Mus musculus: one gene and its partners. The protein of the gene in region 1 purifies or fractionates together with the protein of each later gene. This does not show direct contact. Links are inferred from orthologs where the notes say so. Each region holds a gene or a part of one and is shown in the gene's direction. Other genes may lie near its edges. The genes, in order: Nfkbia, Arrb1, Nfkb2, Psma4, Cul1, Rel and Rps3.

Region 1 (4,282 bases):
TGCATACTCAGGGGGAGGCGCTGGAATTCCAAAGAGAGGAAAGCTGACATAAGGCTCATTAAGAAAAAGATCATTCACATCTCACCAGAAATCTATGCAGAACTAGAGAGGCCTCCTGGATCTGGTCTGACAAACTCTGATCCACGTTGCTTTAATTTTCCCTAAGTAGGGGTGGGGTGGAAGTAACATTTGTACTTTTGCCGGTTAAACTAGAGGCTCACAGGCCCAAATCCCTTTCTTGGGGGAGCAGCTACCCATAATGCCGCGGTCCCTTGGGAGCAAGGAAGCTGATAGAAGCAGCAGGTTTCAGATGGGGTCTGTGTTAGGACTATCTTGAGCCTCCTGCAGGATACCTCACAGTTACTTTTTTAGCTATGTTTGAGAGGCCAGCCTTGGCTAGGGCACTAAGTCAATTGCTCTGCTAGGCATTCACAATAAGCTCCGGCTTCATTCTCTGCAACAAGTTAACTCCGACAGCAAGAACGCAACAGTTGCGGTTGCAAGGAAACTACAACTTCTACTAAGATTAACAGCTTGCATTACTTGGGGAAAAATGTGGTTCCCATACGGAGCTAGGATTTGCCCCTCCCCCGGGGGGGGGGGCAAGATTATTGACCCCTAGGAAATAATCTAGGGGTTCTCCAAGCTCTTGGTTTTTGTTGGTGGTGGTGGTGGTTTTGTTTGTTTTAATGCCAAAGTTTTTACAGCTTCATGGAGTAGGAGTGAAGGACAGCCAAATGTCCCTGCATTGCAAAGGGCCTGGAACAGACAAAACACAGCCGGCCCCGGAACCACTCATATGTCCGTCGTCGCAGAAATTTAGGAGAAGCGAATCCCTGCACCTAGCCAGCGTTTCCACTCTTGGGTTTTCAAAAAGATCAAAAACCGGAAAAGACCTGCAAACTGGCAAATCGCTAAGAGGAACAGCCTAGCAGGTCTGCGTCCTTGGAAGCTGCGCAGCTTGGGACCCCAAACCAAAATCGCCCGGTGGGAAACCCCAGGGAAAGAAGGGTTCTTGCAGAGGGCTGGGGTTACTGAGTGCAGGCTGCAGGGAAGTACCTAGAGGGAGGGGGCCTGGTCGGGAGGACTTTCCAGCCACTCAGGGCTCATCAAAAAGTTCCCTGTGCATGACCCCAGTGGCTCATCGCAGGGAGTTTCTCCGATGAACCCCGGCCCTGGGTTTAGGCTTCTCAGTGGAGGACGAGCCAGTTCTTTTTCTAGTCTGACTGGCTTGGAAATTCCCCGCGCCTGACCCCGCCCCTGAGAAATCCCCTGCCAGCGTTTATAGGGCGCCGCGGCGGCGCTGCCGAGCCCACAACAGTCAGACCTCGCCAGCCAGCCGCCAGCAGCCTGCAGCCTGCACCCGCTCAGCCCCGCACAGCCATGTTTCAGCCAGCTGGGCACGGCCAGGACTGGGCCATGGAGGGCCCGCGGGATGGCCTCAAGAAGGAGCGCTTGGTGGACGATCGCCACGACAGCGGCCTGGACTCCATGAAGGACGAGGAGTACGAGCAAATGGTGAAGGAGCTGCGGGAGATCCGCCTGCAGCCGCAGGAGGCGCCGCTGGCCGCCGAGCCCTGGAAGCAGCAGCTCACGGAGGACGGAGACTCGTAAGTGGCGCCGGGCACCGGTGGGGGTCGCGCGGGGCCTGCAGCGCGCTCGGGGTTCTGCACGGCGAGGGCGCCGGGGTTGCGGGGCGCCGGGGCTGCGGCGGGCCGCCTGTCTTCCCCCCTCCCCCTCCTCCCCTGTCCCCGGACCCGGAGTCGCCGAGCGCAGGCCGGGGGGGGCGGGGCGGCAGCGGCGGCGAGGACGCAAAGTCCCGGCCTGGCAGCGGTGGCGCGCAGCCGCCGGGCGCCGCGCGGCCGCGAGGGGAAGTACAGGGCGTTCCGGGCGGCGGAGGGCGGGCCGGTCTGGCCGGCGCCCGCCCGGAGGGGGTGGGGCACGGAAAGTCCCTGGGCGGCTGCCAGGAACACTCAGCTCATAATAACCTCGCGGAAAACACCGCGGCCGCGGCCTCCAGAAACCCCGGCCTTGCGCAATCCCCCCTCCAACCCCACCTCCAGCCCGCGCCTCCCCCCCCCCCACGCAGTGTGCTCACCACCCCTCGGGGGGTTTCCCTGTCATCCCTCAGGTTCCTGCACTTGGCAATCATCCACGAAGAGAAGCCGCTGACCATGGAAGTCATTGGTCAGGTGAAGGGAGACCTGGCCTTCCTCAACTTCCAGAACAACCTGCAGCAGGTGCGCTGCTTGCTTGCCCCGCGGGTGCCCTCTTTGACCCCTTGGTGGAGTCAGATGTAGCACGGTCGCCCCCAAAGCGTTTCTAAATTAATAGTCACTTAGTTCTTATCTGCCTTGGCCTTTTGCATTCAAATCAGCCAACGTCTTAGAACCAGAAGAAAAATCCCTTGGGTTTAGTGAGGTCTTTATGACCCACCTAGGGCCTCCTGTTTGCCTGATCTCCTAAGAGACAAATGGGAGGATCAGATTCCATAGCGGGAGGTGTCTGGGGTTCAGGAAACTCAAGACTATGGGTTTGCTCCATGGCTTATCCCTTTCTGTTTCCTCTTCCATTTGTAGACTCCACTCCACTTGGCTGTGATCACCAACCAGCCAGGAATTGCTGAGGCACTTCTGAAAGCTGGCTGTGATCCTGAGCTCCGAGACTTTCGAGGAAATACCCCTCTACATCTTGCCTGTGAGCAGGGCTGCCTGGCCAGTGTAGCAGTCTTGACGCAGACCTGCACACCCCAGCATCTCCACTCCGTCCTGCAGGCCACCAACTACAATGGTAGGTCTGCCAGTCCATCCAAGGATGCAGAGGAGGGAGAGAGATGGGGCCACTTGAGTCTTAAACTCCGAACGTATACAAAGTTCAGACACTGTGATCTTTTTAAAAAGTTTTCTCCTCGATGCCTATATGATATTCACTCAGAACCCAGATTCTGAGTTCTTCAAAACTGATGATGTTTGTGGTTGTCCTCAAGACAATAGACATGAGTTGTGTGAGGATTGAAACACGTAGTTACAGTTTTTGTCTTCCTCCTCCAGGCCACACGTGTCTGCACCTAGCCTCTATCCACGGCTACCTGGCCATCGTGGAGCACTTGGTGACTTTGGGTGCTGATGTCAACGCTCAGGTGAGTACATCTCCCTTCCACCTAATCTCTGTTGGGCTGGCTCTGATGGTGAGCAGGTTTCCAGATGCAGCCGTAAACTAACGCCTGATTGCTTTTGGTTTCAGGAGCCCTGCAATGGCCGGACAGCCCTCCACCTTGCGGTGGACCTGCAGAATCCTGACCTGGTTTCGCTCTTGTTGAAATGTGGGGCTGATGTCAACAGGGTAACCTACCAAGGCTACTCCCCCTACCAGCTTACCTGGGGCCGCCCAAGTACCCGGATACAGCAGCAGCTGGGCCAGCTGACCCTGGAAAATCTCCAGATGCTACCCGAGAGCGAGGATGAGGAGAGCTATGACACGGAGTCAGAATTCACAGAGGATGAGGTGAGTGTTCCTCCCCTCAGCACGCTGACGGCTGTTCTAGGGCTGCTTTGGATCAGAGGGATTTCAGTTGTTTAACTTCTCAGACTCGGCTTGCAAAGCCAGGATCCCAAGAATTTGTCTCTGGTTTGTTTTAAGAGCTTACCCTTTTGGGTTGAGGAATGAGGGAATTCTAGAAATTGAACCCAGGCCTTAGCACATGGTGATAAGCACACGTTCAACCATTAAGCTCCACCCCCTCAATAGCTTAGACTTTTTTTTTTTTTAAGGAAAGAATAGGTAAGGGAAACTCCTACAGCCTGGTGCCCTTGTTCTATTTGGGTTAAGGAGAAAAAGAGCCCAAGAATAGGAGTTATTTCAGCAGCAGCTCTCCCCTTATCCCAATGTCTTGGTGAAGTTCTAGGAATTTAATATGTCTTTTTCCCCTCTCTTGTTTTAGCTGCCCTATGATGACTGTGTGTTTGGAGGCCAGCGTCTGACATTATAAGTGGAAAGTGGCAAAAAGAATGTGGACTTGTATATTTGTACAAATAGAGTTTTATTTTTCTAAAAAAAAAAAAAAAAAGAAAAAGAAAAAAAATGAGAAAGGGTATACTTAGCACCACACCACACAGCGCCTAGACCCAGGCATTTTACTGGGGTGATTCGGCTGTTGTCTTTGTGAAATCCGGGGAAACAGATCACTGAAATTCAAAGAAAATGTCTCTTAAGGTTCATGTTTGTGGGATTTTTTTTGGGGGGGGGGGAGGTGATTTTCCAGAACCTAATGAAAGGACCACGT
Region 2 (3,826 bases), on another chromosome or scaffold:
GTATCTGGCTTGTACCAGTCCATCACACCCAGGCCCTTCCCACTTCACAGCTGGCAACATGACCAGTAAGATGTGGTTGTGTTTTCTGGAGACACTCATAATTTTAGGGAGGCTCTGCTAAGATATGCCACCCTTAGCAGTGAGGAGCCTTCAGGGCTACGTTTAATCAGTCTTTTAATTCTGTTTATCATCCAGTGGCTAAGGGGATGGGTGATTGAGCCAGAGTCTTTCTGCACTTACTGCCAATAGCTGTGCAGCCTGAGGCAAGAGGCTAATCTCTGAGTGCCTAAACCTAGGGCATCTTAATAATAGGGCTGTAGTGAAGAGGATCGCAGGAGTTGTTCTAAGGAGGGGCTTGGTACACTCTGTATCATGCAAATGCCCGTTCTTGTCCTCAACCTGTGTACCAGGGACAGTGTCAGGGAAGGCCTGGTCACCAACAATGACTGGTGACCAGCTCTTTCACAGGCACACACAGGAGGTGTCAGCGTCTGCCTATGGTGTGGACAGCTCCTGAAACCTGTGGGTGGCAGAGAGGCGGGTGGGCAGGACTGGGAGAAAATTGGAAAGGGTGGTGTCAAGAGGCCATGATGATTTGAGATGGGCAGAGCCCCAGGCCACTTTGGTTACCCACTGACCATGGTGTGAGTCCCCAGCGGGCATGGTGCCCAGCCCATGGTCTCCCCAGGCCTCAGACGGACAGGGCAGCAGGTCTTTCTCTCTGAGGCACTCACCGAGCTCGCTGGACGGGGTGTGTGTTTCAGTGATGTGGCCGTGGAGCTGCCTTTTACCCTAATGCACCCCAAGCCTAAGGAGGAGCCCCCACATCGGGAAGGTGAGTAGGACCTGTGGGCCACTGGGGTGGGGTTTACCAGCCTCCCTGTTACCCCACTGCTCTGCTTCTTTCTGGGTTAACCTCCAGCCCAGAGTCATCCTTTCCCCAGCTCCCAGTCTTCTGCAGGGCCTACAACACAACTATTATTTGCTTTTGACCCAACTAGGGGGGCAGAGAGCCCTGACTGCTATTCTCCATGGGACAGGGAGGTTCGGAGTGGAGGACAAGCCACACTGGTGGATTTTAATTTTAAAAATTATTATGATTTAAAAATATTTATTTTTATTTTATGTGTATGGGTATTTTGCCTGCATGTATGCCTGTGTACTATATACATGCAGTACCTTCAGAGGCCAGAAGAGGGCGTCAGATCCACTGCGACTGGAGTTACAGATGGTTGTTAGACATCCTGTGGGTACTGGGAACTGAACCCACAACCAGAAGACCCAGTACTCTTAACTGCGGAACCATGCTCAGTCCCCATATTAGTTGAGGGTTTTTTTTGGTTTGGTTTTTGTTGTTGTTGTTGTTGAGACAGGGTTTCTCTGTATAGCCCTGACTGTCCTGGAACTCACTTTGTAGACCAGGCTGGCCTTGAACTCAGAAATCCGCCTGCCTCTGCCTCCCAAGTGCTGGGATTAAAGGTGTGCACCACCACACCCGGCATTAGTTGAGTTTTTAAGGAGGTAACAGATTGACTACATTCCATTGCAAGGGATGTTACAGTCCCTCTCACAAATGGAGTCTGCCTATGAGTAGTCGGTGAGATGCCGCAGATGGCACTCTGAATTCAGAGAGGTTACAGTGTGAAAAAAAAAACAAAAACAAAAACAGGGCAGTGTGATAACACATGCCCATAATCTCAGCAGAGGGAAGTGTGTGAGGTAGGAGGATCACGTTTGAGGCCAGCCAGGGCTGCAAAATGATCTTAGGGTAAATGGAACTCAGGGAAGCAAAAAGTGAATGTGTCTCACGTTGGAGACCTGCTTCCTGCAGGGTGTTCATTGGGCATGGATGCCTCCCTCCCACATCTGCTGGTTTTTGACCTGGGAGGCTTCTCACTCACCTTCCTTCCTTGCCCTCCCCATCTTATCTAGAGAGTCTGAGGAGTGTGTGTGTGTGTGTGTGTGTGTGTGTGTGTGTGTGTGTGTATGTGCGTGTGGTCCCTGTCCCATCCCTCACCTCTCATCCCACACCCCACTTACCCCTGGGTACCTCACAAGCCTTGTATATTTTCAGTTCCAGAGAGCGAGACTCCAGTAGACACCAATCTCATAGAGCTTGACACCAAGTAAGCTGAACCTTCCTGCCTGTGCTGTCTGGGGAGGGGCTGGAGGTGGGACGGGAGAGGTGGAGGGGTCATTTGCATAAATGTTAATCAACCTCTGAGGAGCAGCTGGTCTAACCTGTCTGCTGAGAGCCACCTCTGCTCACCTCTTCAGCAACCTGCTTGCCTGCATGTGACTTGAAGGACCCTCCATGCCTGTTCCTCTTCCTCCTGCATTGGTGGGGTCTGTCTTCCTTGTACGTCCGTCAGTCAGTCAGTCCGTCCGTCTGCAGCACCCACCCAGCTGGCTGACACGGGGCTGGTTCAGACTCTGGGGCTCCCCTCTCTTACCCGACCAAGCCAGTTGGAGGCTGCCTGTGGGGTGGAGAAGGTGTCTGGGTGCTGTCACTCTTGCGGCCTGAGGACCAACCGATTCGGACTCCCCTGCGGTGGAAGGCCATGGGGCACCAAACAATGGCCAGAGGAAGAGGACCTGGTTCAATGGCTTGAATCGCCTCTGGGGCCAGGTGGCTTTCTCCTTCCAGCTTCCCAAACCTCCTTTCCTTGATTCTTTGGTGAGATCTGAGAAACAGAGGTTTGATGTTGCCCTGAGGAAACCCATTCAGCTGACTGAATTCAATGGGGGCCAGGGACTTCTGCCTCTGCCTGGGCCAAAGGGTCATGGTGGAAAGAAAGAAACAGTCCTTAGTCCTGCAACCTTAAACCAGGCACCTTTCCCCATCACTCTGTCCTCATATCCTCACCATCTTCCAAGCCCCGTTCCAAAGTCCCTCTCCAACCTAGGACTCCGGGGATGTGGGTTAGATCTTCTAGGAGAAAGACCTGTTCTCCTTCCTTAGAACCCAACACCAACTTCCTGGTTGAAACAGTTACCCTCCCTAAAGCAGTCTTGGTAGTTTGATTTGGAGGGGTGAAATAGGGTTTCTTGGGCTTGTTCTTTGGGGATTCCGACGCAGAGCCACATTGCTCCCCCTACTTACCTTCTCCATCTCCCCAGGAACAGGGTTGCTTTTCTAGCCCTTATGCACTGAGAGGCAAGCTTTTTGCAGTTTATTTGTGAGAACCCCCACAGCCATCAGTGGGCTTGTAAATGGGCCAGCCAGGCACGCCTTTCTGCCTGAGGTCATCCCAGAGACCCTGGAGATCAGGGGTTCTCTCTTGAGTCCTCCCATCGTTTGGCCAGGCCTCTGGATCTGCCTGTCGTCTACCTCTGCAAACACACGGCATTTTCCTTGTCTCTCCCACTAGTGATGACGACATTGTATTTGAGGACTTTGCTCGCCAGCGGCTGAAAGGCATGAAGGATGACAAGGACGAAGAGGATGACGGCACCGGCTCTCCGCACCTCAACAACAGATAGACTAGGGCCGGCCTCAGCCCGGCAGCTCCAGGTTCACTCTCGCACTCGGATGCTTTCTCGTCTCCTTCCCATTCTGGTTCTTCCTTTTGTTCTTCCAGTTTCTACCAAGGGGCCCCAGTGGTCTTCCAAGTCTCGGTGATGGGCCTCTCGCATCACCACGCCAGCAGGACCACGTCCTCAGCCATCTCTCTGCAATCACCTGCCCACCTCCTTCTCATGCTCATTCCCAGGAAGGCCACACTGCCTGGCCTTGGGATTTGGCTTGAGATGGGGAGCAGAAAGGGGAGGGTGGGGCCTGAAGGCACAATGATGATGGGTGTGAAGATGTGGAGGGGGTGGGCAA
Region 3 (4,222 bases), on another chromosome or scaffold:
CGGATCCCACATGGGTGGAGGTTCTGGGGGCTCCGCTGGGGGTTATGGAGGCGCTGGAGGAGGTGAGGAGGTGCAAGTGGCAGGGAGAAGGATGGAGGAGATAAGGGAAGTTAGGAGAGGAATCTGGGAGAGTCCTGGCTGGCACCTCACACTGCCTTCCCCATGCCCACAGGTGGCAGCCTCGGCTTTTTCTCCTCCTCCTTGGCCTACAACCCCTACCAATCCGGTGCAGCCCCAATGGGCTGCTATCCGGGTGGGGGAGGTGGAGCGCAGATGGCCGGTTCTAGACGGGACACCGATGCTGGCGAGGGGGCAGAGGAGCCCAGGACGCCCCCGGAGGCTCCCCAGGGCGAACCACAGGCCCTTGACACACTGCAGCGAGGTACATCTCAGGAACGCTGGGGGTGGGCGCGCGCCAAGCTGGGGATCTGGCCCGCACCCACGCCCCCTGTCGCCCCCTAGCTCGCGAGTACAACGCGCGCCTGTTCGGTCTGGCGCAGCGCAGCGCCCGAGCGTTGCTGGACTACGGCGTCACCGCAGACGCGCGTGCTCTGCTAGCGGGACAGCGCCACCTGCTGATGGCACAGGACGAGAACGGAGACACGTAAGCAACCAGAGGACGGGCTTCCGTGGGACCTCCAGTGGCTGGGGTCTTCTGCTACCAGGTCTAGATGTTCGGGTAGAGGAATCTACAAAGAGCTGAACCCTAGGCTTGGACAGATCTGGTCTCAGGTCCTCGCTGTTTTCTACTTCTGTTCAAGATATTTACTCTCCCCGACCTTCAATTTTATTAGCTGTGAAGGGGTACAAATAGCAAGGTGTGACAAAAGATTAAGATGATGACATTTAGGTTTCAAGGGGCCTCGGTAAAGGAGACCGCGGAAGTGTGGAGTTTTGAGGGCAGATGTGCTGCTCTGGGTGGCTGGGTTTCTGAAGACAAAGTCTCAATCTCCAACCCTCAGGCCACTGCACCTGGCCATCATCCATGGGCAGACTGGTGTCATTGAGCAGATAGCCCACGTCATTTATCACGCTCAGTACCTCGGCGTCATCAACCTCACCAACCACCTGCACCAGGTAAGGGGAAGCCTTTGGTAAGAGGTTGAAGGCAGGGAGTCCAAAGCTGGCCTAACGCTGCCTCTCTCCTCAGACGCCTCTGCACCTGGCGGTAATCACTGGGCAGACAAGGGTGGTGAGCTTCCTGCTGCAGGTGGGTGCAGACCCCACGCTGCTGGATCGGCACGGAGACTCCGCCCTCCACTTGGCTCTCCGGGCAGGTGCTGCAGCCCCAGAGCTGTTGCAGGCACTGTTGCGCAGCGGAGCCCATGCTGTGCCCCAAATATTGCACATGCCTGATTTTGAGGGTAAGTTTCCAACCTACTCCTGTCCTGGGAACAAGGGTGGGGACCGAGGAGTGTATATGATCAATAAACACGAGCGGAGGTTGCCTGGTCAGAGTGCATCCGGAGGCCATTTTGAGGGTCAAAGCTGCAGGCGCGTGTGCTATTTCTCTAGGACTATACCCTGTACACCTGGCAGTCCATGCCCGAAGCCCTGAGTGCCTGGATCTGTTAGTTGACTGTGGAGCTGAAGTGGAGGCCCCAGAGAGGCAAGGGGGCCGAACTGCCCTGCATCTAGCCACAGAGATGGAGGAGTTGGGGCTGGTCACCCATCTAGTCACCAAGGTAGGAATGAGGACTATGGAAGGGATGGGGCTGCGGACTGTGGGAGGACCCGGAATGATGATCTGCGTGGCAAGGGCTTGGCTGGCTGGACTATGCTGCTCTCTGCTTGCACCCTACAGCTCCATGCTAATGTGAATGCCCGGACCTTTGCTGGAAACACACCCCTCCACCTGGCAGCTGGACTCGGGTCCCCAACTCTTACTCGCCTCCTTCTAAAGGCTGGTCAGTTTCACCATTGGTGTATGAAGGGCAAGGGGGGGAAGGGGGAACCCCCAGCTCCCCATGGTTCAGTCCTCAATGTAGGAGCCTCCACTAGTCTCTCCTGAGGACTGCCTCCCTCCCCCAGGTGCTGACATCCATGCAGAGAATGAGGAGCCTCTGTGCCCGCTGCCCTCACCCTCGACCTCTGGGAGCGACTCCGACTCTGAAGGGCCTGAGAGGGATACCCAAAGAAACTTCCGAGGCCATACCCCTCTTGACCTCACTTGCAGTACCAAGGTGAGGCCACCCTTGCAATAGAAGTACTGAGGTGGGGACTGGGGACCTTCTGGACTTGGGGGTGTGTCCCAGATGATGGACCTAGGGAAAGCTGGGCTTAAGGTCCGGATGACAGTCAACACCATCTCCCCAGGTGAAGACTCTGCTGCTAAATGCTGCTCAGAACACCACGGAGCCACCCCTGGCCCCACCCAGCCCTGCAGGTGAGGTTGCAGTGGTCTCAGGCACCTCCTTCCAGAGGTGATATCCTTAGGGACTCTGGCGAGGGCTTCCTTTGTCTAGCTCCTCTTCCATGCCCCGTTGATCTGTCCACCATGTCTGTCAGGTTACAAGGGAGAGAAGCTGTCTGGGTACGTGTCCCTGCACACCTATTAGCTAACTCACAGGTCCGTATTTGTCCCCTAAGGGCCAGGGCTGTCCCTGGGGGATGCAGCCCTGCAGAACCTGGAGCAACTGCTGGATGGTCCCGAAGCCCAGGGCAGCTGGGCAGAGCTGGCAGAGCGACTGGGGTTGAGAAGCCTGGTGGACACATACAGGAAGACCCCGTCTCCCAGCGGCAGTCTCCTTCGTAGTTACAAGGTGAGGCAGCCTGTACCCTGCCCTGAAGCCTGAAACCTTGGCCTCTCAGAGTTCCCTCCCCCACCAAGACTCTCTAACCCCACACCCTAAGCATCACTCAGACCTCCTGTCGCCTTTTCTCGGCAGCTGGCTGGTGGGGACTTGGTGGGTCTATTGGAGGCCTTGTCTGACATGGGTCTCCATGAGGGAGTCAGGCTGCTGAAAGGTCCTGAGACCCGCGACAAGCTGCCCAGCACAGGTAAGGACAACCACCTTGGAAGGTGTGTCTGGGCTGAGGGGAGAAGGCATGAGGCTTGACTCTCCCCTGTTCCCTAGCAGAGGTGAAAGAAGACAGTGCCTATGGGAGCCAGTCAGTGGAGCAGGAGGCAGAGAAGCTGTGTCCACCCCCTGAGCCTCCAGGAGGGCTCTGCCACGGGCACCCCCAGCCTCAGGTGCACTGAATGGCCCCGGTCAACTTCCACCCAGATCCCTCTGTACAGCATCCCTGTCTAATCGAAATCTTATTTAAACCTCAAGCCCACATCTCGGTGGGTCAAATAAAGGGGAAGACCCCTCCCCAACTTACGGTACAGCAACCCCAATGTGCTGCCCATCCCAGTCCCTGAGCGAGAATAGAGGAGGAGGCCCAGCCAGCAATTCAGAGCAGTTTTAATGAGGGTGGAGGCTGTACAAAGGGTAGGGCCCACCAAAGAAGGGAAGCAGGCCGTGCCACCCCAGCCTGTGGATGGGGCCTCAAAGTGGATGCCCTTCCTCTGTCTCTGCAAAGAGAGAGGTGAGCCCTTGGGGAGGAATAGGGGGACCAGCTCAGCCCCAACTCCTGGCTTCTGTCTGAGCCAGGCCCCAGGATGGAGGGGTGTTGCTGGTGTAAGGGTGAGGTGGTCTCAGCAGAAAGCAGAAACTTGATCAGGCCTCCCCCACGAAAAAAAAAAGGAAGAAAAAAAAAAAAGAAAGAAGGAAAGGAAAGGAAACCCCCATCAAAAATTAGGGGCATGGGCCCCTCCCACCCTTCCTGTACGAAAAAGTGCAAAACATTATCACAAAAAGGGGGTCTCTGAGAGGCCCTCAGCCTAGGCTCTGAGGCCCGGCTCAGCCCTGCCCTGCCCCGGACACCGCGTCCGGCGCGGTCGGGCCCTGGACCAGGAGGCCCTCGTGGCTGGCCCGAGGCTAGCTGAGCTCAGGCAGGACCGTGTATGTCATCATGCAGGTGCCCAGCGGGCACTGCCCCCATCGCTCCTATGCCCTGCTCAGGGCTTTGGCCTTGTACTGCCTGCTCCAGCCCGGGTTTCTGAGCCAGGACGCTGAGCCCGGGGCTGGCTGGTGGGCTTGGGCCGCAGGGAAGGACTGGAGTGAGGCGGAGGGCATCCATCCTCCGTGCTCCCAGCCTGGGCCAGGGCTGCCTCTATGGTGTCCAGCTCCTCGCTGGCTGCCTTCATCTTGACTCGAAGCAGTGCTGCATAGGT
Region 4 (4,569 bases), on another chromosome or scaffold:
TATTGAATGTTATTTTACATGCACTACCTCATTTAATCCAGAACAGAATCACAAAGATATTCTGATGATTAATCTCCATTTTTAAATAAAGAAATAGAGCCTTGAAAAGCTGATTTATTGCTTTAGAAGGGAGCTCAGGCTTAGATCTTGAATTAGGTCTTTGGGCTGTTACCCCTGTTCCTAATCACTACAAAATCCCATCCTGCTGCCTTTCCTTCCTTGTTTTTACACACCCACACCCACACCCACACACATGGGGGCAGTACATGAGATCATTCACATGTGAAACACTTAGGATACTCATATTTGAGGTTTTTATTTAACTTGGCCAATCAGGACCAGAAAAATGGGCTGGAACTTGGGTCTCATTCCAAATCAGTGTTTATCCTGTTATACAATGGAACTCTGCAAGTTTCTCTTGATTGTTCTTGCTAAGAGAGATTCTCCACTAAATTCCTATTGCAAATATTGCTAATTTCTGTTTGAAATTAAATATATGCTGCATTGTATGGATATTTTACCTTTTGGTCTTTTTTTCTCTCTCTCTCTCATTTTTAAAACAGTCTCACTATATATCCCTGGCTGGCTTGGAATTTACAGGGCAAACCAGGTCCTGAGTACAGGCCAGGTCCCGTCTACATGCAACTAAATTTCTAAGCTTCCCCCTTTAAGAAACCCAGATCCAACCGTTTTGCCTACACAGAAGACAAAGGCCCTGTACATAGTCAACCCACTAGCTCTTCAACCCCCAACATAGGCACAAAAACTAGGTAAGATTGGAAAGGAGAAATGGATGAAGAGAAGTCTTTTTTTCGTTTTTTTTTTTTTTTTTTTTTTTTTTTTTTTTTTTTTCTTTTGTCCGAGACAGGGTTTCTCTGTGTACCCCTGGCTGTCCTGGAACTCACTCTGTAGACCATGCTGGCCTCGAACTCAGAAATCCGCCTGCCTCAGCCTCCCAAGTGCAGGGATTAAAGGCGTGCACCACCACTGCCCGGCGAAGAGAAGTCTTAAACTTAGAACAAAAGTTATCCCAATTAAAGAGTTGGATCTGAGAAAGGAGAAAATGAGGCTAAGAGGAAGAACAAAGGAAAAACTGTTAAGGGGCAAGACTGGAAGAGTAAACGATTTGATTTGTCTATACAGTTGCTACTCTGGCCTCCATTAGAATGGTACAGAAGAGAAAACGAAAGTGGAGTGCAAAGCGTAGGAGGAATCTGGTTCCACTCTCCACGGTATAGACGCTTCCCTCCTCCCTCCAGTCCTCCTCTAATACAGACCGCAGCCAAAGCCGAGGTTGTGCTTCTGCACAGTCCACGTGGGCAGACTGAGCCCGCCCCAGCACTGGGAGAACTTCCGCGTCCTCCCGCCCCGCCCCGCCCCCTCGCAGTCCTGCGCACGCGCGGGAGCCATATTCGCCGCGGATGCTTGGCCATCCGGGTTGGTTCTTCTCCAGCTGAGTAAAGAGGCGCTGATCTGCACCCTCACCGTCTTCCTCTGGTGAGGCTCAGTCCTTTAGGGGCCGCGGAGTCGAGGTGTCTGTCTCCCGGGCGGGGGCCATCTGCGTGGAGACCACGGCCCAGGCCCGCGGCCGCCACCGAGGAGCCGTGGGCACGATGACTTTGCACCCGCCTCCTCGGTGACCGGCCTGCCAGGGACTGGTCCCCGCCGGCCGCCGTCGGGTATCCCCGCGGGGCCTTGACGGCTCGCCTGGGCTCTGAGACCCTCCGGGCCGGTGCGAGGGGTGGGGGCGGCTGCGGCCCAGAGAGTCAATTCGGGAAAGTGGCGCTGCGGGGGAAAGTCCAAGTCTTGTAGCGCCGGCGCCAGGCGTGGAGGTAGCTGTGTTCACAGTCGAATCCGAAACCCGCCGTGGCCTCCTGGCTGCTGTGCTCAGGGCCACCTTTCTGTTTCTCCTACATGTTGGAACCGACTCCTGGCAGGTTAACTCTCCTTAGGCCTGACGACTCTTCTAAAATGTCACTTCCCGTGGTCCTTGAATCCAGCCCGTCGGTGAAGCGGTCTTAAGTAAGATAAAGGTGTTTTCTAACATCTGGGCGCGCAGACCCTTCAAATGTCTGCTTAGCTTTCCAGCCACGATGCCTTCCTTATATCCCATTTGGCAACATAGGAATTGAACTGCCATTTTTCTACTAAGGCAGAGTTTCCATTGCTGTCTTTCGAAGAAACGGAAATAAGGACCAGGTTTACCACCTAACCCCTACACCCCCAAATTTAGGACCATGTGAATTATCCACTTTGTTAACCTTTCTCAGCCTGCTCTACTTGGAATGCCCTTCCTTCACCCCTTCACAATTCTTTTTCTTTGACTTGAGGCTTTTCAACTTACCTTTGCCTCTCCCACCTCTAATTTACTCTCATTATCTGTATTGGTTTCCTAAAATCTTACTTGCTGTCGATTCTGCTTTCCCTCCCCACCCTGAATGTCTCTTCCATGTTGCTTTATAATCTTTGTCTGTCATACCTGGCTGCTAGATTCTGAGCTTTTCAGGACACCATGGTTTACCTTTATTGTGGTGGCCCAGCATCTGTATAGGTCCCAGTGGTGGTGCAGTTCATGTTAGCTGAGTGATGGTGTGGATCAAGTGGTATTAACAGTGGAAGACACTTCTTAAAATTGTGGGGGTTTTGTTATTAATGATCCTGTTTTCTTTTCACAGGAATCAACATAAAGTTCAGAAACCATGGTGAGTTCATGACACGTTTCCTTTAACTTTTGCCTGGGAACATTATGGCTTGTTTGAAGCTCACAGCCTGACATGGAAGAAAATGAAACCAAAGGGGTAGAGGGAGTTGAATGGGGTCTTCCGTCTTCTTTCCACTGAACTCAGCACCAGGGTGTCATTGTATCCAATGCATGGACATCCGGAAGTTGGCGTATGTCAGTGAACAGGCATCATCTCTGTTTTTCCTTTGCAGTCTCGAAGATATGACTCCAGGACCACAATATTTTCTCCAGAAGGTAAATTAGAAGATTTAACCTGCTCCAAAGAAGGTTGGGGCATTTTGTTGTGGTTGTTGCTTTAAGTAGTATATTTTTAGTGTTGGGGTCTAGTGTGACGTTTAGCTACACACATTTTGGAGTTGACTTCATTCCTTTGGTTCTTGGAGATAACTTGTCACCAGGTTCATTACGCCATGCATTGTGGGCGAGTAAATGCAGGGCTGTTGATGCCAGCCTACCTGTGTCATTGCTGATTTCTCTCAGATGAGTGGTGCAAGAGCGAGAGGAACCGTGGTGTCTCACTGTTTTGTAGGTCGCTTATACCAAGTGGAGTATGCCATGGAAGCCATTGGACATGCAGGCACCTGTTTGGGGATTTTAGCCAATGATGGAGTTTTGCTTGCAGCGGAGAGGCGCAACATCCACAAGCTTCTTGATGAAGTCTTCTTTTCTGAGAAAATTTATAAACTTAATGAGTAAGTGCGATCATGGGGAAGAGCTTGAACTATTGCACTTGACAGCGTACTCAGGATTTGCATATTTAAGGAGGGATCTTCTATGTGAAGTGATAGAACTGAAATGAGCAGTTTTATTATTTTTCTTGTAAAAATCTGTGTATTTGCTTTATTTTGCTTGACATCTCCTTGCAGCCCATTATATCTCAGTTCATTATGTGTATAATTCACTTGAAATGCAAAGATAAACACTTGGTGCAAAATAGCACTGTGCAGTGATAAAAGTATGTATGTATTTTCTGGCCACACAGGTTTGGTTTAAAATCTAAAGTCCATGGATACAAGGTGCTACACCTATTATCTAACTTCTTGAGGATCAGAGTGGTTATGGGAATCAAATGAAACAAAATAGTGAAATAAACTAACACAGTGCCACCGTGTAAAGCAGGGCCTCAGGATGCCCTTCAGAATGGCACGCAGGAATTCTGTACAGTTATCCTGACTCTTTACCAAAGAACAAGGCTCGTGGAGGTCTGACACAGTTCAGCCACAGGGTGCAGTCTGATTCTGTCCAGTTTGAGTACTTGGAGCTGGCTGTGGGATTTGGTTGTTGGTGGAAGACTGGCTGTGCTATATAGAGACTTTGCCATCAGTGGTAGGCCGGCTGAAGACTTGGCACTGGGGCCTAGTTAATTATTTGTTTATGTATTACAGCTTTGGATGTGTTTACCAAGCACACTGACCACTCTCACAACCTATTCTTACCTTCCCATCTCCCACCCTTCTCCCCACAAATATTTATGTCTGTCTGTTTTGATTCACTGGCATTACCAGGGCCATCTGTGTGAGAGCTGCTTGCTGGAGTCTGGTGGGCTCAGCAGTGTGTACATATAGCCGAGAACAGTGAGTCTTGCCCAGAATCTACCAGTAACCAATAGATCCTATATAAGGGGTAGGGTCCTATGAGCTACTCTTGGCTAATTATTGACAGGGCTGGTCTTGTCCGCGCCCAAACTAGTTGTAAGCTTGTGACTTCACTTGTCAGATCTAGAGAACGTGCTTTGCTGCCCTTACTCTGTCTCCTCTCTTAAGTAGTTGGCAGCCCCTTTCCCACAACGTTCACAGACCTTAGAGAGGGAGTGGTTGGTCTGAGTG
Region 5 (3,489 bases), on another chromosome or scaffold:
AGACACCCTTTCCCTAGGATGTGCCTAGTAACAGTTATTTTCTTCTAGGTCTTAGAAGATGAAAATGCCAATGTTGATGAGGTGGAATTGAAGCCAGACACCTTAATAAAGTTATATCTTGGTTATAAAAAGTAAGAAAAATCTAACATGTAGCTGCTGGTCTTATCCCCTGGCACTGGCCTACTTCAGGATCGGCACGAGCCAGGGGAACTGGACTCTGCTTTTAATGCTGAGTTTGATTTTCTTTATCTTGAAAATAAGTCTTGAGTGGCTCATATGGCATGTTTAGACCTTTATATCAAGTTATTTTGGTGTTATTACAATTCACTAAATTGAGGGGTCAAGTGTCACTTCAGTCATCCCTCTGTGGTAAAATTACATAGCATTGGTGGAGGGGCAGTTCGCAGGTAGCAGTAGAAATGATGAGAAATGATATAGAAGAGATGGGTGTGAACCACCTGCCCAGTCCAGGGATGCAAAACGTGTAGTTGAAAGACAGGAAGCAGACTTTTCAATGACCTGTTTCCTCTGTTATCTTGACAGTAAGAAATTGAGGGTTAATATCAATGTACCAATGAAAACTGAACAGAAGCAGGAACAAGAAACTACACACAAAAATATAGAGGAAGACCGCAAACTACTGATTCAGGTGACTGAACCATGTCTGCACTGTACACTTAGGGAAACGTGCTGGCCTTGTATGTGCTCAAACGCTGCCAGAATGACAGTTCGGTGATGGCCAAAGATGACAATGCCTGAAGCCAGCACTTGGTGTCTGAGGGATGAAGTATTTTATGTTCCAAACAAAAGTAGTCTAATCTTCTTGCCTAAGTATTGGGAAGCAGGTAATATGTGGCAGATTAAAGAAACAGGAGATTGGGGGGAAGGGGACCTTCTATTCCTTTAGAGATCCATTTTTTCTTTATTCTTTAGTGCTTTATAGTTGGCCAAAATTAGCCCCTCCAAAATATTTAAGATTTACATTTAGTGTATATGCATGTTTTGTCTATATGTAGTCACATATAGATAGGGTTCATGTATGCTACTGGTGTCCCCAGAGGCCAGGAAAGGATGCTGCATCTCTTTGGTTGTGAGCTACTCCATAGGTCCTGGGAACTGAAACCAGGTCCTCTGGAAGACCTCAGTGCTCTTAAACCACTGCACCATCAATCTAGCCCCTTAGACAAAACATTTTAATGGATAAAGCTGATGGATAGAGCTGATTGCTTGTACCCTCCCTGACCTGTAGGATAGTTGTTACCCTAGCATGGAAGTTGAGTATGAGGTGGTACAGGCTGCCTTGAACTTTCATGCTCAGCTGTTAAACCTCTAAGCATGTGTTTTTCTTGTTGATTGCATAGGCGGCCATCGTGAGAATCATGAAAATGAGGAAGGTCCTGAAACACCAGCAGTTACTTGGTGAAGTCCTCACTCAGCTCTCCTCCAGGTTCAAACCTCGGGTCCCGGTGATCAAGGTACAGGAATTACAGAGCATGGTTAGGAAACTTGTAGCAGAAGGATTAATGGCTGTTTCATGAAAATGGGAACTGGCTTACTCATTCATACAAAAAACTTCAACAAAGGAAAGTCAGCTAACTTCATTCTTGAAGTAAATATAAGAGGCATATGTGTCATAAATATACTTTTATAATTGATATTCTGATGAGGAGTACGTCACAGGCATCCAAGAAGTCACATGTTCCTCCCCTATCCTATGTTTCTCTGGCAATGAGCTAGCTGTCCTGCAGCCTTGGCTGATTTTGCCTGGTGGGAAGTGGTGTACAGTGTTCTCTATTGAGAACCCACCTGGCAGTATGAGGGGACTCATTGGGGCTGCATTGTTGGGAAATACTTGTCCATTTCTGCTTCCGAGCAGGAACATACTCCCCTGTATCTAGGGGACTAATGATCTCATTTGCCAAGTTTTCTGATGGCAATAACTCAGCAGACCTTTCCTTTTCTGAAACGACTTGGGTAAGCCACAGCCATTGGAGAACCCAGGGATGGCGATGCATGGTGAGTCCTCAGTGGTCAGGAGCTATTAGCACCATGCTAGCATGTTCTTCAAGTTCTGACTCACCCATCCTGTGCTCCTGACCTGTGACAGCAGAGTCCTGCCCAGAAGCAGCCAGGCTTTGTTAAAAAGGGAGATTGTGGCCTAGATGTGCTAGAGCCCTTGCCTTCTTAATGCACAGGGCAGTTTGGAGTGGGTGGGGGTGCAGTCACCCACAGGTGTTGCTGAAGGTTCAGGTGGGTTCAGGACAATAGACAGGTTGAATTTGCTTCCTGCTGAGCTCAGTGGAGGGTAACTGTGGTGAGGGTGACAGACCTCTTTCCTGATGGTTATTTTCATTTCTCTCCCCCTTTAACTCCCTCTTCTTCCTAAAACAATGCCCAGAAATGCATTGATATTCTCATCGAAAAAGAATATTTGGAGCGAGTCGATGGTGAGAAGGACACCTACAGTTACTTGGCTTAACCCATCTAGCAGGGTCTGCATGACCCACAAGCAGATAGTTCCAGTGAATAAAATGGAAACAACTCAAGTTCATAGCAGCCAGCCTGCCGCCATTTGGACCTTCATTTTTAAAGCTGAGACCACAGTTCCCACCAGCTGGTTTCAGGCTACAGCAGGACTGCTCAGGACTGACTGACACATTTCAGTCTGTAAACAGACGCCAATGCCATTTACCCTAACTCACAGACAGAGGGGAACCGAACCTTCCATGCTGAGGCTGCATGCTACCGCACTTAAATCAATACATTGGCTCCCTGGTTAACAGCTGTCGTCTGAGGCAGCACACGAGAGCGAGTCTGAATGGACCCACGTGTAATCTGCTATGAAAACCATTTGTATAGTGTGTTTCATTTTTTTAATGTGTGAAAATAAAGAAAATTAAAGGATTTCTGTACAAGTTGCATTTGGTTTTGTTTTAAGTTTTTCTAATTTCTATATGTAAATAAAAGATTTAATGATTGTGCAAGTGTATATTCCCATTGTCTTCCTGAAATCCAAAAGGGCTGCATTCTTTGGATTGGAAATTAAGATCTTAATTTTTAAAGTCCTTAATCTTTTTGGGCACTGACCCTTGTTTTCTGAGACTTATTCAGTACCGTGAGTATGGCGTTTGAGAGGTACCATACTCCAGATTGCTGCTGTCAACTCTGCAGGGACTAAATGAATACTAAGACAGGTGTAGAAGCTGGTCTGTATCACTGCATCTAAATTATTGGAAACTCCCTGGCCACCAAGGAGGATGGTCAGCCCTCTCCACTTGTGTGTGAGAACTGAGAATCTCTCTCATTCCAGGTCCCTCCTAGTGAAGCTTTTCCAAGGAGGCTGCCATATTCACCCCAGGATGTCCCCGGAAGGAGGGCCCAGGCCAGGGATTGAAGGCTCTCATCTTCCTCAGATCCAGTCCAGCCCAGGGTCATCCTCAGACCTCCAGGGACTCTGCCACAAGGCACTGCACCGACCTTTGCTCTCAG
Region 6 (3,826 bases), on another chromosome or scaffold:
AGTGTATATTGTTGGAAAATATAACCATAGTTTGTTCTTTATTGCTGAGTATTTGTTCATTGTATGACTATACTACAACTTGTTTCTATTAACAGAAATTTATTTGTAAACTGTCAGGAGCACCTAGCCATTCATTGTTTTTGTCTGTCTGTCTTTCTGTCTGTCTGTTTTGTTTTAATATTGATTACTCACTTTGAAATGAAGACACTGAAACCTTGAGCTCTTAAATTTATATTGCTATTAAATGAGACTTTCAGTAGTCCTGCACTCTTACTGCCTGTCCTGGTCCCAGCAACTGTGCTACTGTGATACAGGTGCTGCCCTCTTAGCATTTTGAACCTCATATTTTCCCCTTGAACATGGTATGAGGGTGCGTACCTAGGTATGGAGGCAAAAGGACTGCCTCAGATGTTTGCCTCCAACATTTTCTGCCTCCCTTTTTTGAACTGGGGTTCTCATCTGCGGGCTTAGATGGCGACCAGTACCCTGCTTCTGCCTTCCTGGCACTGAGAATATTATCAGGAGCCTGACTACTACTGCACCTGGCTTCATTGCATGGGTTGGAGGGTTGAGCTCATACTTGCAAGGAAAGTACTTTACCGACTGAATCATCTCTCTCAGCCCCATTTTGACCTTTCTAGTTGTACAAGTATGTTTTCATAGACTCAAATGTTAGGCTTAAGAATGCTGATACTGGAATAAATTTCAGTGTTAGCATAACTCCTGAGACTATTTGACTGGCTTTGTGTGAGATATGTTTTTTTAAATAAGTTATCACCTGTAAGACTGGGGAATTTAGCTAATTATTTTTCATATTTAATCTTTTAATTTTAATACTAGTGTCCTTTCCAAGTAAATTTTTCATGTAATTTAATGAATTTTATGTTTTTAAAATATGGCATATATTAGTAACAATTTATTGCTATAGGCTTAAAATATTTCAAAACGCAGCAATATTTTGTTTTAGAAATGGGCTTCTTTTCAAATATCAATGCAAAGAGACTATTGTACTATATTCTGTGGCAAGTTTTTGTATTTTTTTTTCAGAACTGTAAAAATGCCCTGGTGTGCAGTTTGTTTTTAAGCTGACTTGACTTACACATAAAGTTATATCATCTGATATCTTTTTCACATTGCATCTCTAAAATGCTGGTGCAATATGTTAATAAGTTAATATGACCCTCTGCTTCAAATTTCCATGCTATTATTTAGCTGTAAAATTTATTATTTAGACAAATAATGTCATCTCCTTAAAATCAATGTCTTACCTATAAGAACAGGGATGATGGTGATTTTTGCTAGATTTAGAACGTAATTACAGACTGGGCCAAGTGTTATGTTAAATGAAGTATGCATGTTTCCCATTGTCTATAACTTGTATCCATATTTAAGATTTTTGATTTTGGTGGTCAGTTTATGATTCTGCCCTTAAGTTCCTAGTCCCTGGTATAGTCTCTCTCTGAGCATGGCTACAGTCTGTTATATACTGTTAAATAGTAACTGTACAATAATGAAAACTGTTCTTGAGATTGAACCCCATCTTAGTTTTCTGCAGACGTAGGTGCGGGTTAAGGTTATTGGATGTTGTGGGCAGAGAGAAAGACAGCAGGATTTTGGTAATAATAAAGTATTAGTATTATGTGTTCTACATTCTAAATCTGAGATTGTACTGTTCAGTCCCTGAACAGCAGCTGCTGGACATTGAAGACTGCGACCTCAATGTGGTGAGGCTGTGTTTTCAAGTTTTCCTTCCTGATGAACATGGTAACTTCACAACTGCTCTGCCTCCCATTGTTTCTAACCCAATTTATGACAACCGTAAGTGCTTTAATTTTCTTATGTCTGTACTTTTAGCTTGTTTCATTTCCTTAACTGCTGAAAAGTTTAAAGGATTTTTGCAATTTGAAAAGGAGTATGTTAGGTGGGATTGGTGGTTTGTGCATATAATTCTAGCAACCAGAAGGCTGAGGCAGGAGGATAAAGTTTGAAGGCATAATGGACTACACATTGAGACCTTGTCTCAAGAAACAAGAAGAAGCCAGGGGTGGCGGTGCATGTCTTTAATCCCAGTACTCAGAGATAGAGATAGGCAGATCCCTGTGGGTTCAAGGCCATCCTTGTCTACCCTGTGATTTCCAGGATTACATAAAAAGATCCTGTCTCAGACAAAAAACAAACAAATAAACAAAGCACTGTTCATTATAGAAAAAAAAACCCTCAAGCATATATACATATATAAGAAAGAAGAGCAAATCACCATTAGTCTCCTCCTAAATGGCCACTGTCCTCAAGCATACACTGTAGTCCCTTTGAATAAGCACAGACACCACCATCTTCCTCATCAACCCCATTCACCCACTAAGTTTGGCAACTTAAAAAAAAAGATCAATGATATTTTAAAAAAAAACAACTTTTTTTCAAGCCAGTAGTGGTAGTGCATGCCTATAATAATAGCACTTGGGAAGTCCAAGCAGGCAGATCAGGAGTTAAGTTTTCCTTTACCATGTTTAAAAATGGGAATTCAAGACCCTACTGTGTCACATGGGATCCTTCCTCAATAGATAGAGACAGAAAATCCCAGAACTTTTCTCTTTGCAATGTATCTTGAACCTTTTTCAATCACTTTTTCTTTTCTTTTTTCTTTTTAAACACTGCTGGCATTTAACCAGGACATTGTACAGAGCTATACCCCAAACCCCACTTAGGTTTCCAGTAGCTGAATATTTATCTCCTTCCTTCCTTCCTTCCTTCCTTCCTTCCTTCCTTCCTTCCTTCCTTCCTTCTTCCTTCCTTCTTCTTCCTTTCTTTGTGTTGCTTTATACTTTTTTCTTTTTCTTTTTTCTCAAGAAAGGGTTTCTCTGTGTATCAGTCCTGGTTGTCCTAAACTCACTGTAGATCAGGCTGGCCTTGAACCACAGAGATCCACCTGCCTCTACTTTTGCCTCTGCCTCCCAAGTGCTGGTATTAAAGGCCAGTGTCACCTTGTTCAGAAGCATATTTTTTTATATGTCTATATATTAATTTTAAGAAATCATTAATATGGAGTATAAAAAATAAAAAAGATGACTTTTAAGAATCATATTTAAGAATATATTTGGTTTGTTTCCTTTTGTAAGCAAATTATACCAAAGTAGATATATTTATGTGTGCATTTAAAGACAACTCTCTATGGATCATGTATCTGCCTGTTTATATGTGTGTGGTCAGAAGACAACTTACAGGACTTGGCTGTGCTCTTTCATCATGTGTTTCCCTGAGATCAAACTCAAGTTGTCAGGCTTTGCTGCCTTAACTATGTCACTGGCTCCTGAATGTTTATCTCTTATGCAAATATTTCTGACATTTATTTTTAAAAGAATAACTTTTGACAGATACCTACATCAAAGGATATAGAAGTTTATTTGAAAAGATTTTAAAACTTTCCTCCAAAATATTTTGTGTATATACACACACATTCACCAGTAGTATATGCCACACCTGATTTGCATGTAGAATACTGGACCATAGGAGTATAGAGGTAGATTATTCTTAACAGAGAGCCTTGGGTACCTTTAAGAACTATCATAATAATATTCGGAAGATAAATGAGAACTGCATTGCCCTAGGGATATAGCCAGTGATATAAAATGACTCATTTATTCACAGTGTGCCTTTACCAAGAAACAGGAGGAAGAGGCAAGAACTGCTCAAGTTAAAAGGCCAACTAGCCTGGTGTACATAGCCATAAGTAACAAAGAGACTGTCTCAAAAGAGGTAGGAGTTGAGGGCTAGCAAGCACCTGAAGTTGTCCTCTGACCTCTTCCACACATATGCTGTGACATATGCT
Region 7 (4,392 bases), on another chromosome or scaffold:
ATCTTGTTACAAGGTCAAAATAAGTTCATTCCTGTTTTCTGTAACACTTGGGTTTGATCCTGTCGTCAACCCATTTTCTGGAATTTGACATGTTCCATACTCCATTATACCCTGACTTCCACCCTGATAAGATGTTCTGCCAAGTTCCTGTGTAGCCAACATTCCCCTGGAAATCTCTCTTCCCTTGGAAACCACCTAGTCTTAGAAATTTTGAGTTATATAAATTCCACTTCTATGTTTGATGCTATTCTTTAAAACTCCACTTTAGGGAGATAGCCCTGTCTGATAGAAAATAAAACTTGCTTAATTTGTCTAAAAGAGTTTAAGTAATAGTTTTTACTTTTGTTCCGTGGGATTAATACAGGGTGAAACAGACTCCCGTGTTTCCAGTGTGAAGTGAGCCACACACTGCAGTACAAGTTATATCAGCAGGTTCTGCCTCTGGGCAATGAACTTTTGCTTGTGTGGACATCAGGGTCTGTGTGAAGGGAAGGTCCTATGGCCTAGATTTATACTATTCAACAGTCTGTCCCCGAAGCCCTGGTGCTTTATTATTTTGACAAGCCCCTGCTGCTGGTATTCCACCCTGCTGCGAGTCAAAAAAGTTCCTGTCTCGGAAAAACAAAACAAAACAAAACAACCAAAAAATAAAATTTTTTTTTCCCACAGGTTCTAGTGGAGGTGCTCACTACCAGAAATCCTACAAATAAGCCCATCTCATGGATCAGGGTTTACCTTTGTAATAATATTAAATCTGTGTGCATGTGCGCACGCATGTGTTTTATGCTTGCATATATGTATACGCAGCCATGGTTTTCTACTGTCCCACTCACTCTGTAACTTACTGAGCCATCCAGCTGGTCCTCTAAATACATTTCAATGAAAGTTTTCATTAGCGTGAACGTGAAGGTGGTAAAATCTGTTAGTGTGTGCTTATGCCTGTGGTTTGCACCTCTAGTCTGAAGGTTGCTCTTTTCAAATTTTTTATTTATTTACGTTTTTACTTTTGAGTCAGAAACTCATAAAGGCCAAGCTGGCCTCGAATTCGCTATGTAGTCAATGATGACCTTAAACTTGTGACCCTCTACTTCGTTAGTGCTGGAACCCCAAGCTTGCTGAGTACAGAGCACTTTCAGACCGGAACTAGATGTCTACTTCCTGTTCCGCCTACATTACAGGTTGCTAGGTTACACCCCCCCTACGCCGTTTTAGACGCAAAACTTCATTTCCCATGCAAAACTTCATTTCCCATGAACACTTGCAAGGGTCGCCGCGCTGCGCGGCGTCATTGCTCCCGCCCTATATACCTACTTCCGCCCGCGAGCCACTTCCTTTCCTTTCAGCGGCGCGCGGCTGCAAGATGGCGGTGCAGATTTCCAAGAAGAGGAAGGTAAGCGTCTGGGCCCGGTTCGGGAGTCCGCCGCGGGTTCTACAAGTGCCAGGGAGGCCTGTGGCTCCGTGATCAGTCCTGTGGAGCGTCTGGGGCCGCCTGCCGTCTCTTCGAGCCTCGGATGGCCGTAGATTGTGTATTGGGCCGGAGCCGGGCGAGTGCTGTGTGCCTGGGCAAGGGAGGGACAAACTCCTCGAGTTCTGGACCGACTCGAACACCGGGCGCCTCCAGTTCCGGACTAGACACCTTTGAGCGTTTCTTGGTCTCCATAATAGTAATCCTGTGGCACAGTTAGAGGGCGTGTGCCATCAGATCTAGTCCAGTTTCTTTAGTAAGTGAAGTTTAGCAGTCCCTTCTCTTAGTCGCGTGATCCTGCAAGTGGCCATAGTTGAAAGCCTACTTACTGACTGCTGCCGTGTTCACTCGGGACCCGGAGCTGCAGCGTCCCTGTGGTTATCATTTCATGGGGGAAAAGTGTGCAGGTTGCCAGGTTTAGAAATAGATGGTCTGTCGTTTGTGCTTATGCACACAGATGATAAACCTGTTTTGAGTCAGGATTCCTCTCCTATCCGAGGTACAACTTACAGTCCCAGCTGTACATGTGCTACTTGGAGACAGATTTTTCTTTGTCTCTTGGGTGTAGATTATGCCGTAGAGCCCTTCGATGAAGAGGTGATGACGAGTCTGAGTAGGAAGTGTTGTCTTTGTCCAAGATGCCTCACTATGCTGCGTTCTGTGGCACAGCTGAAAGCACTGTGGTCAAAAGAAACTTCCTAAAGATGACCAAGAGGCATTTGTCTGAGAAGGGTTGCTGCTTTTCTGTAGGGCCATTGGGCTTGCTCTGACTAACCCTGTCTTCACCTCAGAGGTAACTTGTTTCCTTTGGTTCAGTTTGTAGCTGATGGCATCTTCAAAGCTGAGCTGAATGAATTTCTCACTCGGGAGCTGGCTGAAGATGGCTACTCTGGAGTTGAAGTCCGAGTTACACCAACCAGGACAGAAATCATTATTTTAGCCACCAGGTAGAAATACCATTGATTGTCACCTGTAAATACTGTGTGTACTGAGATGCTGTGTAAACTTGGGCCAACCAAGCAGTAAATCTGGCCTCAGTGGGTGTAACTGCTTTGTTAGAACTGCATTTGGGAAGAACTTACCTTCCATTTAACGTGTGTGCTGGCGTTGTGGTGGGCGGCAGGTGGGATCTTGAGTAAATGGTTGCGCTTCCCCTCTACAGGACACAGAATGTTCTTGGGGAGAAGGGTCGTCGGATCAGAGAGTTGACCGCAGTTGTCCAGAAGCGCTTTGGCTTCCCTGAAGGCAGCGTAGAGGTGAGTTCCTCTGCTTTATCTCCCGGGGGTTTTAGACTGAGTTGGGATGTGGCTTCTGCTATAGAATTGTACTTCTGAAAACCTGACATGGCCAGTGACAGTCACAGGTACTTGATGCTCTGCCAAAATTTCCTTAAAAGCAGAGCGATTGCCATGCATGGCGGGGGCCCATATTCTTGTCCTGGCACGCAGAAGGCAGGATGACGGCGGGGCAGAGCTAGTCAGGGCTGCTGTAGTGAGACCCTGTCTTAAACCACAAACAGTATGATATTCTGGTGGTCGAATGTAGAAATAATGCATGGGTGACTGGCTATCCTTAGTGTGGTTGTGAGGAACCAGAGTAGAAGGGCGATTCAGCCTTCATCGCTGCCTTGTGTGGGTAGTCGTGGTACTTGAGTATCTAAGGGATATTACAATGGCTTAATTGAAGATGGGTGAGTGACAGGAATGTACTTTGCTTTCTTTAAAGCTTTATGCAGAGAAAGTGGCCACAAGAGGTCTGTGTGCCATTGCCCAGGCAGAGTCTCTACGCTACAAACTCCTTGGAGGGCTTGCGGTTCGAAGGTGAGTGTCCTGAGACTTGATGGTCATGCCCTCCTGTGGATTAGTGTGTGCTAGCATTTTTGTTAGCAAATAACTTGATTGACAGAATCATCTAGTCTCTGGTGGTGTAGCCCATCCCCCCACTGAACCTAGTTAGGCTAACTAGGCTAGTAGTAGGCTGGTGGATGAAGGACCTATTGTTGGTGACACATGCCTGTATGCCAGCACTGGGAGGACCAGCCTGGGCTGTGGGATGAGCCCCGAAAAAATGGTCAGTGCTCTGACGAGGGAATGCTGTGGGTATGTTGAGAATGAAACGAGTAGATAGAATCATAACAGGGAGGGGCATCCGCTTTGTGAGGTTTAGCAAGGACCCTTGATAGGTGAGCAGGAAAGCATCCTGCCTGTTACTGTACCTGGGAGGAGTATCTGGTTGGGAGTTGTAGCTTTGGCAGTGCAGGTTTCAAAACAAGCTAGAAGTCATGCAGCTCTACTAACTAATGCATTCACTGTGTGGATATAGAGATAGCAGTTCTAAAGGGAAAGACATTTACACTAGCAATTGGCCAGGGTTCATAATGCCTACCCCCCAATCTTCGCACTGGAGGTAGAAAATCAGCAATGCAAAGCTCCAAAGCCAGCCTTAGCCTCAAAACAGAGGCTAGTCTCAGGGGAGGCCCTCTCAAAAACCCAACGTTTCCTGTAAATTTTATGGCACTGAGAAGTGATGTAACGATCAGGTAAGGGGCCTGACATTGTTTCAGGAGTTGTACAACCTTGCCTTTGTTATAAGGATTAGATGTTGAGAAGGCCAATTTGGTTCTTTGTTGAGAGTCAGGGTCTCACTGTATAGCCTAGCTGACCTCCAAGTCAGGTTGCTTGCTGAAATTAAGGTGTGTGCCACTACACCTGGCTTTAACCGGATTTTGTTTCTCTGTGACCTTAGGCCAGGCTGGCCTCGAACTCAGATCCTCCTTCCTCTGCCTCCCTAGTGCTGGGATTAAAGGTGTGGGCCACCACTCCTAGCTTTCTAGTGTTGTATAGGCAAAAGGGTTTTTTGGTGCTATTAATGCTTAGGTTTCCTGGTGGGGTGGATTCTGGAGGTGGAGGGGCCTCCCATGGCCTGCA

What was found.
Region 2: the proteins of Nfkbia (region 1) and Arrb1 purify together in Homo sapiens (affinity purification with western blotting; 3 studies listed by BioGRID and IntAct, with this or other methods). This does not show direct contact. The link is inferred for Mus musculus from reciprocal best matches to the Homo sapiens genes NFKBIA and ARRB1.
Region 3: the proteins of Nfkbia (region 1) and Nfkb2 purify together in Homo sapiens (affinity purification with mass spectrometry; 6 studies listed by BioGRID and IntAct, counting the BioPlex papers as one, with this or other methods). This does not show direct contact. The link is inferred for Mus musculus from reciprocal best matches to the Homo sapiens genes NFKBIA and NFKB2.
Region 4: the proteins of Nfkbia (region 1) and Psma4 purify together in Homo sapiens (affinity purification with western blotting; 3 studies listed by BioGRID and IntAct, with this or other methods). This does not show direct contact. The link is inferred for Mus musculus from reciprocal best matches to the Homo sapiens genes NFKBIA and PSMA4.
Region 5: the proteins of Nfkbia (region 1) and Cul1 purify together in Homo sapiens (affinity purification with western blotting; 8 studies listed by BioGRID and IntAct, with this or other methods). This does not show direct contact. The link is inferred for Mus musculus from reciprocal best matches to the Homo sapiens genes NFKBIA and CUL1.
Region 6: the proteins of Nfkbia (region 1) and Rel purify together in Homo sapiens (affinity purification with mass spectrometry; 6 studies listed by BioGRID and IntAct, counting the BioPlex papers as one, with this or other methods). This does not show direct contact. The link is inferred for Mus musculus from reciprocal best matches to the Homo sapiens genes NFKBIA and REL.
Region 7: the proteins of Nfkbia (region 1) and Rps3 purify together in Homo sapiens (affinity purification with western blotting; 4 studies listed by BioGRID and IntAct, with this or other methods). This does not show direct contact. The link is inferred for Mus musculus from reciprocal best matches to the Homo sapiens genes NFKBIA and RPS3.

The regions. Positions count from the first base shown.
Region 1 is NC_000078.6:55,489,628-55,493,909, reverse strand, and holds the start of Nfkbia (NF-kappa-B inhibitor alpha), read left to right. Parts: upstream 1-1,262; 5' UTR 1,263-1,383; coding exon 1,384-1,610; intron 1,611-2,131; coding exon 2,132-2,240; intron 2,241-2,579; coding exon 2,580-2,790; intron 2,791-3,050; coding exon 3,051-3,139; intron 3,140-3,243; coding exon 3,244-3,504; intron 3,505-3,940; coding exon 3,941-3,988; 3' UTR 3,989-4,282. UniProt on the Homo sapiens protein: Inhibits the activity of dimeric NF-kappa-B/REL complexes by trapping REL (RELA/p65 and NFKB1/p50) dimers in the cytoplasm by masking their nuclear localization signals.
Region 2 is NC_000073.6:99,597,727-99,601,552, forward strand, and holds part of Arrb1 (beta-arrestin-1), read left to right. Parts: intron 1-764; coding exon 765-835; intron 836-2,074; coding exon 2,075-2,126; intron 2,127-2,277; exon of another isoform or gene 2,278-2,629; intron 2,630-3,371; coding exon 3,372-3,483; 3' UTR 3,484-3,826. UniProt on the Homo sapiens protein: Functions in regulating agonist-mediated G-protein coupled receptor (GPCR) signaling by mediating both receptor desensitization and resensitization processes.
Region 3 is NC_000085.6:46,308,693-46,312,914, forward strand, and holds the end of Nfkb2 (nuclear factor NF-kappa-B p100 subunit), read left to right. Parts: coding exon 1-62; intron 63-172; coding exon 173-382; intron 383-462; coding exon 463-604; intron 605-962; coding exon 963-1,077; intron 1,078-1,150; coding exon 1,151-1,364; intron 1,365-1,515; coding exon 1,516-1,685; intron 1,686-1,804; coding exon 1,805-1,907; intron 1,908-2,031; coding exon 2,032-2,183; intron 2,184-2,316; coding exon 2,317-2,386; intron 2,387-2,589; coding exon 2,590-2,762; intron 2,763-2,888; coding exon 2,889-3,000; intron 3,001-3,077; coding exon of another isoform or gene 3,078-3,080; coding exon 3,081-3,202; 3' UTR 3,203-3,398; downstream 3,399-4,222. Other genes in the region: Psd (PH and SEC7 domain-containing protein 1), read right to left, coding at 4,007-4,222. UniProt on the Homo sapiens protein: NF-kappa-B is a pleiotropic transcription factor present in almost all cell types and is the endpoint of a series of signal transduction events that are initiated by a vast array of stimuli related to many biological processes such as inflammation, immunity, differentiation, cell growth, tumorigenesis and apoptosis.
Region 4 is NC_000075.6:54,949,407-54,953,975, forward strand, and holds the start of Psma4 (proteasome subunit alpha type-4), read left to right. Parts: upstream 1-1,452; 5' UTR 1,453-1,497; exon of another isoform or gene 1,498-1,548; intron 1,549-1,937; exon of another isoform or gene 1,938-2,022; intron 2,023-2,675; 5' UTR 2,676-2,699; coding exon 2,700-2,702; intron 2,703-2,934; coding exon 2,935-2,977; intron 2,978-3,272; coding exon 3,273-3,435; intron 3,436-4,569. Other genes in the region: AY074887 (cleft palate-related protein 1), read right to left, coding at 1,035-1,433. UniProt on the Homo sapiens protein: Component of the 20S core proteasome complex involved in the proteolytic degradation of most intracellular proteins. This complex plays numerous essential roles within the cell by associating with different regulatory particles.
Region 5 is NC_000072.6:47,523,156-47,526,644, forward strand, and holds the end of Cul1 (cullin-1), read left to right. Parts: intron 1-48; coding exon 49-131; intron 132-543; coding exon 544-649; intron 650-1,361; coding exon 1,362-1,475; intron 1,476-2,398; coding exon 2,399-2,479; 3' UTR 2,480-2,989; downstream 2,990-3,489. UniProt on the Homo sapiens protein: Core component of multiple cullin-RING-based SCF (SKP1-CUL1-F-box protein) E3 ubiquitin-protein ligase complexes, which mediate the ubiquitination of proteins involved in cell cycle progression, signal transduction and transcription.
Region 6 is NC_000077.6:23,746,743-23,750,568, reverse strand, and holds part of Rel (proto-oncogene c-Rel), read left to right. Parts: intron 1-1,677; coding exon 1,678-1,818; intron 1,819-3,826. UniProt on the Homo sapiens protein: Proto-oncogene that may play a role in differentiation and lymphopoiesis.
Region 7 is NC_000073.6:99,480,590-99,484,981, reverse strand, and holds the start of Rps3 (40S ribosomal protein S3), read left to right. Parts: upstream 1-1,272; 5' UTR 1,273-1,360; coding exon 1,361-1,390; intron 1,391-2,049; exon of another isoform or gene 2,050-2,197; intron 2,198-2,281; coding exon 2,282-2,412; intron 2,413-2,627; coding exon 2,628-2,721; intron 2,722-3,190; coding exon 3,191-3,285; intron 3,286-4,392. UniProt on the Homo sapiens protein: Component of the small ribosomal subunit. The ribosome is a large ribonucleoprotein complex responsible for the synthesis of proteins in the cell. Has endonuclease activity and plays a role in repair of damaged DNA.